2 linked regions of the Arabidopsis thaliana genome follow. The protein of the gene in region 1 purifies or fractionates together with the protein of each later gene. This does not show direct contact. Each region holds a gene or a part of one and is shown in the gene's direction. Other genes may lie near its edges.

What was found.
Region 2: the proteins of DRP3B (region 1) and AT1G77940 fractionate together in Arabidopsis thaliana (co-fractionation; one large-scale study listed by BioGRID). This does not show direct contact.

What each region holds. Positions count from the first base shown.
Region 1 is NC_003071.7:5,953,827-5,961,722, reverse strand, and holds DRP3B (dynamin related protein), read left to right. Parts: upstream 1-1,614; 5' UTR 1,615-1,707; coding exon 1,708-2,076; intron 2,077-2,166; coding exon 2,167-2,449; intron 2,450-2,545; coding exon 2,546-2,574; intron 2,575-2,668; coding exon 2,669-2,770; intron 2,771-3,066; coding exon 3,067-3,135; intron 3,136-3,230; coding exon 3,231-3,290; intron 3,291-3,682; coding exon 3,683-3,796; intron 3,797-4,163; coding exon 4,164-4,212; intron 4,213-4,314; coding exon 4,315-4,424; intron 4,425-4,733; coding exon 4,734-4,823; intron 4,824-5,055; coding exon of another isoform or gene 5,056-5,058; coding exon 5,059-5,148; intron 5,149-5,286; coding exon 5,287-5,379; intron 5,380-5,462; coding exon 5,463-5,600; intron 5,601-5,807; coding exon 5,808-5,921; intron 5,922-6,015; coding exon 6,016-6,111; coding exon of another isoform or gene 6,112-6,115; intron 6,116-6,261; coding exon 6,262-6,304; intron 6,305-6,507; coding exon 6,508-6,650; intron 6,651-6,739; coding exon 6,740-6,886; intron 6,887-7,019; and 8 more. UniProt on the Arabidopsis thaliana protein: Involved in the control of mitochondrial and peroxisomal division and morphology.
Region 2 is NC_003070.9:29,303,335-29,307,418, reverse strand, and holds AT1G77940 (Ribosomal protein L7Ae/L30e/S12e/Gadd45 family protein), read left to right. Parts: upstream 1-2,007; 5' UTR 2,008-2,130; coding exon 2,131-2,151; intron 2,152-2,260; coding exon 2,261-2,366; intron 2,367-2,455; coding exon 2,456-2,557; intron 2,558-3,106; coding exon 3,107-3,175; intron 3,176-3,262; coding exon 3,263-3,303; 3' UTR 3,304-3,555; downstream 3,556-4,084. Other genes in the region: AGL67 (AGAMOUS-like 67), read right to left, coding at 206-390; AT1G77932 (FANTASTIC four protein, putative (DUF3049)), read left to right, coding at 4,078-4,084.

The sequences.
Region 1 (7,896 bases):
TAAAAACGATTGTAAATCATGTTTAACCCTTCTAAAAGCTTTTAAAATTCCTTGTAAATCATTCTATTCAACTTACTTATGCTTAAAAAACGATTGCTAATCATGTTTAACCCTTAGAAAAGGTTTTAAAATCCCTTGTAAATATTCTATGCCACTTACTTATGTTTTAAAATCGATTGTAAACTATGCAAACACTTCTAAAATCCCTTGTAAATCGTTTTAAGACACTTACTTATGCTTTTAAAATCCCTTGTAAACGTGTTTAACACTTCTTTAAGCTTTTAAAATCCCTTGTAAATTATTCTATGCTAGTTACTTATGCCTAAAAACGGTTGTAAACCATGCATACCCTTTTTAAAATCCCTTGTAAATCATTATATGCTACTAACTTATGCTTCTTAAACGATTGTTAATGAAGTAAACCCCTTTTAAAAGCTTTTAAAATCCCTTGTAAATTATCTATGACACTTACTTATGTTTTAAAAACGATTGTAAACTACGCAAACAGTTATGCAAATGCCTTGTAAATCATTCTACGACAGTTAATTAAGCTTTAAAAACGATTGTAAAACTTTATTACCTGTTGTGAGATAGAACTCTCTCAAGGAGAAACGGATAGGTTGAGAATCAACTCTAAACCAAAGAGTTGATCCTTTTGTTTTCACTCTCTGCTGCATGAGATAGTGAAAGATTTTTCCAGAAAATCTGATTCCCTTCTTAGCCTTCATTTTTGGTCCCAATTCAACTAGAGGACCAAGAAACGAACTTCTAATCTTCTGAAATAAATACTCGCCTAAAGCTTCCTCTACTTTACTAACTAAATTCCAATCCGAGTATTGTTGAACGGTTCCCAGTGTAATAGATTCCTCACCTTCTCTGTAGATTTGTTCAGGCAATGCAAGGATTTCACTCTCTGAATCCATCTGCAAAACATGTTATGAAACAGCGTCAGATCTACTATAAAATCGACTATAAAATCGACTATAAAATCGATTATAAAAACGGTTACCGTCGGATCTATCGATATCTCTGGGGATTGTTTGCGTCGTAGAGAAATGATCTGAATCCTTCAGCGAAGAACATGTTTATCGGAGAGGAAATTCGTCGGCGATTTTGGGGTTTCTCAGAGAGAAAATTCGTCGGCGATTGTGAGTGAAATCGGAGAGGAAATTCGTTGGCGATTTTGAGTGAAATCGGAGAGGAAATTCGTCGGCGATTTTGAGTGAAATCGGAGAGAAAATTCGCCGGCGATTTTGAGTGAAATCGGAGAGGAAAACGAAGAAGTTTGTGCCAAAACGAAGAAGTTTGTGAAACGAACGTGAAACCTAATCATTCAGAGGGTAAGACAGTCATTTGCCATATTAAAAGGGGCAGTTTTTAAAATGGCCTTCAGGAAAGGACATTTTTACAAAAGGTTATTAGAATAAGGATAGTTTTGCAAATCTCCCATCTCCCTTAAAAAAATAGTGCAATCTACATCTCAAATAAGATGATATATTATCCTTTAAAAAATAACATAAAATTACATAATTTCTCAAAAAGAAATAACTCCGAAAATTACACAAATATTTAGAGATATTATTAACTCTGATTTACTTTAATCGGCGCGTGATCGAGAAAGATCTTCTTTAACCTCTTTGCAACAAATCTACTCAAAACCCTAACCCCTTTTTCAAATTACTTCCATCTTTAGATCGAATCAAATCAATGTCCGTCGACGATCTCCCTCCGTCGTCGGCCTCCGCCGTAACGCCACTAGGCTCCTCCGTGATTCCGATTGTGAACAAGCTCCAAGACATATTCGCTCAGCTAGGAAGTCAATCGACGATCGCTCTTCCGCAAGTAGCTGTCGTCGGAAGTCAAAGCAGTGGCAAATCCAGCGTTCTAGAAGCTCTCGTCGGCCGTGACTTTCTTCCTCGTGGCAATGATATTTGCACGCGCCGACCTCTCCGTCTCCAGCTTGTTCAGACGAAACCTAGCTCTGATGGTGGATCCGATGAAGAGTGGGGCGAGTTTCTTCACCACGATCCTGTTAGACGTATCTACGATTTCTCTGAGATTCGCCGTGAGATTGAGGTTTGTTTATTCATTCTCTTCTTCTAAGTTCGTCATAGAATCTATTGATGATGATCGTCTAATTGTATGAATATGACAATTTGTTTGTAGGCGGAGACTAATAGAGTATCAGGAGAGAACAAAGGTGTATCAGATATTCCGATTGGTTTGAAGATATTTTCACCTAATGTTTTGGATATTAGTCTTGTGGATCTTCCTGGTATCACTAAGGTTCCTGTTGGTGATCAGCCAAGTGATATCGAAGCGCGTATAAGAACGATGATCTTGACTTACATTAAGGAACCTAGTTGCTTGATACTTGCTGTTAGCCCTGCTAATACTGATTTAGCAAATTCAGATGCATTACAAATCGCAGGAAATGCTGATCCTGATGGTGAGTCTTTGGAAGCAAGTCGATTGAGAATTTATCAGTTTCATTGGTATACTACATAGTGACATTTCGTTTTGCATATGAATTTGTTGTTCTCAGGTCATAGAACCATAGGTGTAATCACAAAGGTGCTATTTCTCTCCTCATAAGTTTGCTTTAGATTTAGCTGTGATGGCAAACTACTCTATTTCTCACGATTGCTCTATTTTCTCTCTGATTCAGTTGGATATTATGGACAGAGGTACTGATGCTCGGAATCACCTTCTGGGAAAAACAATTCCTCTTCGACTTGGATACGTGGGAGTTGTAAATCGTAGTCAAGAGGTAAACCCTGTTTTTCAAAAAATTTACGCATGTTTACTTATGATGTATATTGTTCTTGTCCTACCATTATGAGCTGTGACCACTTCTACTTTTGTGCTTGTGTGTCTTATTTCTTGCTATCACAATTTGTATCTCTATGACTCTTCTTTTCCCTTTGGATACTACCTGTAATATAGACCTTTTTTTTAGTGTTACCAAACCATTCTACTCTATATTCATTTTTCGTTTGCTCTTACTATGTGGCCACTGCCCTCTACGCAAGGCAATAACTAATGTGGGTGTTAATTCCTTAACAGGATATTTTGATGAACCGTAGCATCAAGGATGCTCTTGTTGCAGAGGAAAAGTTCTTTCGTAGTCGTCCAGTAAGACTGCATCATTCTCTCGATTTGTTTTCTGATAGCGTTTCCTTGACTCTTCTGCTTATATCTTCTGTTTTGGTTTGTTTTCTAATAAACAGGTTTACAGCGGTCTCACAGATCGTTTGGGTGTCCCTCAACTGGCAAAGAAATTAAATCAGGTATTATCTGCAGTCTTGAGATCGTCTAATTTCTTTGTTATGATTATCTTGTTATGCAGTCAAGACACGAGTGTCATAAGGAATACACTTTCTGGATTTTCCGATGTGTCTCTAATTGAGACAATAAATTGGCTTTTGTATGTAACATTCATGTTTCTTATTTCATTTAGCAGGAGGAGCTAGGATCTTTGTAGGACATTAGTGTGTATATATTTGAAAAACTCAGCGACATCTTCTCACTATTGTTGTTGATTCATATGGTGGATTCTTTTTCTGTGAATGGAGTAGTCCTTTTTCTAAAGATGGCATCTCATAAGTTTCATAGCTGGTAATATTATTACTAAAATTATGAGCTGTCTGATGGGAGCTAGTTCTTTTTCCCTTCTTTGCAGGTCCTTGTTCAACACATCAAGGCACTGCTTCCTAGTTTAAAGTCACGTATCAACAATGCATTGTTTGCTACAGCAAAGGAGTATGAGAGCTATGGGGATATAACAGAGTCTAGGGTATGTGGGTTTTGGCCAGTTTTAGCCTTATATATACCATCCATTCTCAATGATGGCATTGCTATTTGCTTTTTTTGCGTTGTATGATTTCTTGCTCAGTTTTCGTATTTGAATATAATTTTATTCATTTTTGTGATCCTCTTCTTGATATTCTTGGGAGCCTTTTCTGATTACTTTCAGTTAAACAAACTATCGGTAATTTATAGAGTTAGTGTTTGAAGATGTCAAGATATGTAGGGAAATATTTCTGACAAATTTTTTCTAAATATCTAGATATGCTCTTTCATTTCCGTATAAAATATGCCTACAACATGTGACTATTTAACTTACAGCTTACTCTGGTTTATAACTGTTTCGAAATTCATAGGGTGGTCAAGGAGCTCTTCTCCTCAGTTTTATTACAAAATACTGCGAAGGTAATATCTGAAGATGGTTCTGTTTCAGTTTAGACAATGGATGTTAGTTTATACTTTTTAGGTTGGTATTGGTCCTCACCATGGCTTAATTATTTATAACAGCATACTCCTCTACCCTGGAAGGGAAAAGTAAAGAAATGTCAACATCTGAGCTCTCGGGTGGAGCAAGAATTCTCTACATTTTCCAATCAGTATTTGTTAAGAGCTTAGAGGTTTGCTACATTTATAATTTTCCTTGATCTTCACTCAGTTATAACTGCCTTTTATTTTGTTTTTCCAAGTTTTGCATTACGTTATATCTTAGTTAGGTAATACTTTCATAATTTAATTTGGGATATCATTTGTGGTCTTCAATGGAGGTTCATTGTGTTGCTATTGATATAGAACCTATACACCTATGTGTTCTTCAATGGAGGAGATTCATTTTGTTGCTATTGATATAAAACCTATACTCGTATGAATGACTTTCTATTTATAAGATATTATTTGATTCGCTAAGCATTAGGCTATATCTTAGTTAGGTAATCACTGTGTGTAGATATCTTTGTTTAGTTAGTGGGGCTATTTGCACGGAAGGCAGACAGTTCGTTTCAGGTTTTCAGTTCTTGGAAGTGTGGCATGTTTGCAGTTCTTGTATGAGTAGAACTATGCTCAGTTGTAAATATAGTCAGTGTTTATATTAGTTCATATCCGTCCATCTTTCAAGCATCTGATCTGTATTACTCAAAATCGATCTGAATATTCTCTGTTGTATAGAGATCTTTACCTACTGATGTTGTCAGTGCTACTTGATAGGGGTTTAATGATTTTAAACTCATTAGTTTCTCTCAATTTGCTCTGAAGGAGGTTGATCCATGTGAAGACTTAACAGCTGATGATATTCGGACTGCAATACAAAATGCAACTGGTCCCAGATCTGCATTATTTGTTCCAGATGTAGGTTTATCTATATCCCTAAGCATGTGGGAGCATTTTTTTGCTTATCTGTTCTTTCCACATACTTATTTTGCTTGAGTTTTTTACTTTTACAGCAACTCTGATTAGTATCTCTTGCTTTCATTCTCATCTGCATAGGTTCCATTTGAAGTTCTTGTCAGGAGGCAAATATCTCGTTTATTAGATCCCAGCCTTCAGTGCGCTAGGTTCATCTTCGATGAGCTAGTAAAGGTGTTATTTTTATTTGCGTTTCTTTATGATGCTAACTGTTGATTTACATGACCATGAATTTTAAATTGAAAAATTATGTACAGATTAGTCATCAGTGTATGATGAAAGAGTTACAGCGGTTTCCAGTCCTGCAAAAGCGCATGGATGAGGTTATTGGGAACTTTCTGCGAGAAGGTCTTGAACCTTCGCAGGCAATGATCCGAGATCTTATTGAAATGGAGGTATGTATGGATAATTTAAGATCCACACAATCATGAATCTAATGGCCAGTATTATTAAATTTACTTAGATTGCGTACTGATTTTTTTTTTTGTCACACTGGTGGAGTAGGACCATGTTCTAAGTTCAAGAAAATTGATTACTCTCAATTTTATTGATTAGTGCCTCTTTTAAATTTAGTTTAAAATATTTAAGTTTACCATTTGCAGATGGATTATATAAACACCTCACACCCAAATTTTATCGGGGGAACTAAAGCCGTGGAGCAAGCAATGCAAACAGTCAAATCTTCTAGGATTCCGCATCCTGTTGCGCGGCCAAGGGTATGGAATAGTCTCAGCGAAATTAATATTTGCTTTATGTTTCTCTTTGCGAGTTGTGAAATTTTTCGTACATGTTCCCTTTGATGACAACTAGGATACTGTGGAGCCTGAGAGGACGGCTTCTTCCGGGAGTCAAATAAAAACCCGATCTTTTCTCGGCCGACAAGCTAATGGAATCATCACTGATCAGGCATGTCATGCGTTATGTTATGTATTTGACTCTGTTACATTGATCTCCTTACTATATTTGTAGTTGGCCCTGCTTCTGAAAGCCCATGAAGCGAGTACAGATATGCAGCTAGAGACTTCTTATAATATAATTACTTAACATTTTTTACAGGCAGTTCCAACTGCAGCAGATGCTGAAAGACCTGCACCAGCTGGTAATGGTCTTATCACATTTATTTTTCAGTCTTTCATGTATGCACAGATAAATGAACGTGTGGTTTTAAGATGATTTTGGACTGAAATGATAAAATTCTTTGTCTAAGATACGACTTACATATAAGCATACATGTCTGCTCTTAATTCAATGTTCTGTTTAGAATATGAATGTAGTATTCTTGACCGATTGTGAATTAATCAGGAAGCACAAGCTGGAGTGGTTTCTCATCAATTTTTCGGGGGAGTGATGGTCAGGCAGCTGCTAAAAACAACCTATTAAACAAACCATTCAGCGAAACTACTCAAGAAGTGTATCAGAACTTGTCAACAATCTATTTAAAGGAGGTTTGAATCTTGTGCCTTCTCAGGCTTTTCATATTGCCCAATACTGTCACTTTACTTACCTATTCATCTCATAATGTTTTGTTTTGAAGCCTCCAACTATTTTGAAGTCATCTGAAACTCATTCAGAACAGGAGTCAGTTGAGATTGAGATAACAAAGCTATTATTGAAATCCTACTATGACATTGTAAGGAAGAATGTCGAGGACTTGGTCCCAAAAGCAATCATGCATTTTCTGGTTAGTGTTCCACTCTTCTAGTCTTCTGATTGTCTAGCCAAACATCTTATGGTCATTGATGACACTTAGTGTGGGTCGATTCTTTGTGAGGGGACTAATAACTCTATTCCATATAATTGTGAATAAAACACAGGTAAATTACACGAAACGTGAGCTGCACAATGTTTTCATCGAGAAGCTTTACAGGTGATGAAAGAAACCATGTGCTTCCCATTTGATTTTGTGAATAGTCTTTTTTTTTATATGAACTAAATCTGGTGGATGGGACAGGGAGAACTTAATTGAAGAACTGTTGAAAGAGCCCGATGAGTTAGCGATAAAGAGGAAACGCACGCAAGAGACTCTTCGCATTCTTCAGCAGGCTAATCGGGTAAGTTGAAGGTTTATCTTGAAGAAATTGCAATTTAACTTGTTAAAATGTGTCTTTTTGATATGGTTTAAAACAGACGTTAGACGAGCTGCCGTTAGAAGCTGAATCGGTCGAGAGAGGTTACAAAATTGGTTCAGAAGCGAAACATGAGGAGTTACCGGGCACAAGAAGATCAAGGACAGAAACTAATGGGAACGGACGGCTTCATATGTAAATTCAAATTGTGATTGCACGCATGACTCATTCATTTGGTGATGGAAAAGATTTGTTTTCTTCCCTTTAAATCGGTTGTGCGTGGGGAAAGAAAGGTGTTCTTAGGTATAGTGAAACGTGATGATAAACAGAGGTTTTGTTGTGAGGGTATTATCAACCTACTGGAAAATGTGACTTAATATTTGTTTCTCAAAACCGAGAAGAATAATCAATTCCTAATTTTACTTTTCATAGCTTTATTTGTTACGAAAAACAAGAACGTACATGAGACAATGTAATGATAAATTTATCACTGGTAAGTTGATCTTGTTCTTAATGCAAGGGTTTAAGACTCCAAGAAGAACTTCCTCTTCGATTCTCCAACAAAATCTTTCATCGAGACATCTCAAAAATGAACTTAGAGGCATCACCGTTAGAACCTAAAAAC
Region 2 (4,084 bases), on another chromosome or scaffold:
ATACAGATCCACTATTCGGTGGCTTCCACCAACAATTTTTTTTTTGATAAAAAGAATATATGGCTTGTCCGTTTTGTCTTTTAATCAAATGATATGGACAGTACATGTATATGCAAAACATGGTTACACTTTAATTAAGATGAAAAAGCCTAAGGAGAAGATTCTAGAAGAGCATGGAACGTTCTAGAAGAAGAAATGGACATACCTTGTTTGACCGGAAAAGAGACATAGTCGATCAGAGGGAGAGAACATGAGGAGGGCAAGATCGATGTCACAAAGTGTTGACAATTCATAAGCCTTTTTTATTAAACCTTTTTTACGTTTTGAGAACGTAATTTGTCGGTTCGTGCTCTTCTCTATACGCTTTAACTCCAATTTAACCCGACCCATATCCGATGGTCACTGCAAAATAATCAAAACACAATCTATTATTAGTTGGCACGAGAGAAATTGATCGAATGCAAAATTGTATATTTAAGTAAATGAGTCGACGAAAGGAGAGTTTTTAGGTTTGTGTTAAGAGAGAGAGAGAGAGAGAGAGAGAGAGAGAGAGAGAGAGTTACAAATGGTGAGCGGATAGAATTTTTGATCTTAATTTAGACGAATCTGCCATATGGCTAGGTACATCCCTTACATTTATACTCATTTTATATAATATTTGTAAAAATGTAGTTTACTCTTATTATATAACCAAGTGTTGTTACTTAAAACTTTAACCCAAAAAAAAGATGTATTTTATTCAATGTTCATATTTAACATTATAGGTTTCTTGGCACTTGCCTAAAGGCTCATATATACGTGGGTGCGTATGCGTATGGATAATATATATAGTAAATACATCAAACACATATATATTTCCTAGTCTGCCTCTAATTTTTATATATAGCTTGTTCTAGCTAGTGTGATTTGTACATTGTATATACACTGTGTGTTTTCTCTTCTGTGAAATTAAAGACTCAAACCTTATGTGTTTTCTCTTTTTGTCAATAACATGTACATGTGTTTGAATTTATTGGTAACCCAACAAAACAAGCACAATCCATTACACATTATAATGGTGTGTATGAGATATTAGATGGTGTAAGAGAGACATGATGGGTATACATATAGCGAGTGAAGTTGAAGCTTATAACGAAGGTGCCTCTCGATGAAGGAGCTTCAAAAGGAAGCAAATTAGGTTAGGGCTCTATGGAATAATTCTTGATGTTACCATATATTTTATAGAAATATTGTACATGACGACCACCTGGTCTCAGTTTACGACACGTGGGGGATTTGTTTGTTTGTGTTGTCTCGGTCGTTGTTGTTACGTGCCGACAAGGGGAATGATATTAACATAGAGGGGGAAAAAAGAGAGAGATCTTCAATGTGAAGTTTGCTCTGTGTATATAAATATTTTTACATCTTTCGACTTATTCTATTAATTCTTCAAATCATAATAAAAATTAAACCACTTTTGATTACTTGTTTCTTAATTTCCAAGATAATTAATTATAATTTATCTATTAATATTTGTCTACCAAAATCTAACACTTAAAATTAGCAATTTATCTTAATTAAATAAATATTGTTAAACTTTGTCTTTTGTCACACTAGTCATAACTGAGATTGATCAGTTCGTTCCATTTCTATAGAATTCAACTTATACGTTGAATCCGATAGAAAGAAAATAGAAAAGTAATTTGAATTTTTTTTCATCCACAAACAAAACTTGTTGAAACTTGAAACATTGAATAATCTAATAAAAGTATAAAAAAAAATATAAAAAATATATGTTTACCAATTATCCAATTTATTTCTGCATATTTTGTAAATTAAAAAGTAATTCAAATACGTTTCATGTCGACAAAATGTTGAATGTACAAGTGGTTTATGCTAATTTAATCACTGTCAATTCACTGAAACGAATAAATCGAGTAATTACTTTTTTAATTGACAAATTACAAAACTATAGAAACATTAAGGGCATAATTGAAATTTCCAATAAATTGAAGAGCAAAAACCCTAGAAAATTGACACGGACTATAAAAAGGTGACGAAGCGGCGCTTTTTCGGTTTGGTCATCGTGCTCCTCTTCTCCTCCACCGCACAGATCCAAGACATTTTGATTACACTCCATCGCCGGCGAAAATGGTGACGGAAAAGAAAACGGTGCGCCTTATTCTCTCCCATCAAAGTTTTATCCCTTTTCCTCATCATCTAGATATCGTTTACGATCTCAATGTACTAATATGTTTCTGGGTTTATTGCTTAATTGCAGAAGAAGTCTCATGAGGGTATCAACAGTAGGTTGGCTCTTGTTATGAAGAGTGGTAAATACACTCTTGGTTACAAGTCTGTTCTCAAATCCCTCCGTGGCTCCAAAGGTAATTGCGTCGAACACTTGGTCTGCATACCTAAATGTTTTAGCTTTTTGTAGTTTGTTATTGATTCTGGTTTTTGCTTATGTTCACAGGGAAACTGATTCTAATCTCCACCAATTGCCCACCGTTGAGAAGATCAGAGATTGAGTACTACGCAATGCTCGCTAAAGTTGGTGTCCACCATTACAATGGAAGTAAGTTCCTTTCTTCTTTAGCTCGTCCAGTTTTTAAAGATTCATTGTTCTCTTGTTTTTGTGAAGGTTTTCATTGTGTATAATAACTGAGAATGTATAATCTTAAGTAGATGAAAGTGTTAAAATCTGCTTCTATAGACCATTAAACTGATGATGGAAGTATGATCTCAAGTCGAAGAAACTGTAATGTATATTGACGTGAAGTCTTGATCTTTCGCAAGTTCACGATCGGTTTGAACTGCTGTTGGTGTCTCTGTATGTGGTTATTGCAAATATTGACATGGTTCATAATACCAAAGATTGCTCTGTTGGTCTATGATTTCGCATTGTTAGATTTTGACTCTTAGACAAAACTTGATCTTGCTCGATGATAATACTCGAAGGAGCGTTTTAATACATTATCTTGATGATTTCATCAAAGAAAGTAGATGAATGTTTATTCTATTGAACATAGTTTCATGTTTCAACGCTCATTCATCGGTTATTCCTCTTGTATCTACCACTTTGGCTTAACTGTGTTTTTCTTCTCTCCTTGTTAATGGCTTTCAGATAACGTTGATTTGGGAACAGCTTGCGGAAAGTACTTCCGTGTTTCTTGTCTGAGCATTGTTGATCCTGGTAAAAGAGCTAGCTACTTGCTTATATATTGCTGCTGGTTCTTCATTGATAGATCTACTAATGATTTTGTCTTTCGACTTGTTTCAGGTGATTCTGACATTATCAAGTCAATTCCTGGTGACCAGTGATACAATTTTCAGATTTTATTTTTCCCAGACTTTTTACCCGTCTTTGTATTCGAGTCTCTCAAAATTTTATGAGCAATAGACATTGTGTTTCTTCTTTGTCAAGTTTTCTTATATTGAGGACCGGAAAAGAAATTTCTTTAAAAGCAGCTTACAACACAAGTTTACGCATTTTCTCATCATGGTTCTTGAAAATAAGCCAATAAGTTTGTTTGACAGGAAGGTCGCTTACTACTGAAAACGATCAAATACAAATTACTCCTTTTTCTAAACCTAATACTGGTTTGATTGTAGTCACAATCATGTTAGTTTGAATCTGGATAGTAACGTAGTAGAGACATGTGTGTCATGGTTTTATTATAGTATTTGATTAGTACGGATATGATCATCCAAAAAAGGGGCATGTGTCAAAATACACATCTGACAAAAATGGAGACAAATAAACCATTGTTTTTGTTCAGTTGTTGTTGTCAAGGTGTATAGTTATTCATTTGGTGAAACAAAGTTATTCTTGTTTTGGTCATTTTATCCATTTAACTAATGGATAGATATTCACATGTGTTTCTGTATTTCTTTCCTCTTTTTACGTATTTCTTTCTCTGTATACATCGTTTAGTTTCTCATAAAGAAAACTTCCAAAATGTAAGTAAAAGAATGGATGAATCTAACTCCTATTTAACTCAACCTCACTAACTCGATCTATAGACACAGAGAGAGCTTTCAAAATTTGGTAACATCGCTCTCAGTTCTCACTACCAAGAAAACTCGACCATCGTGATGTCAT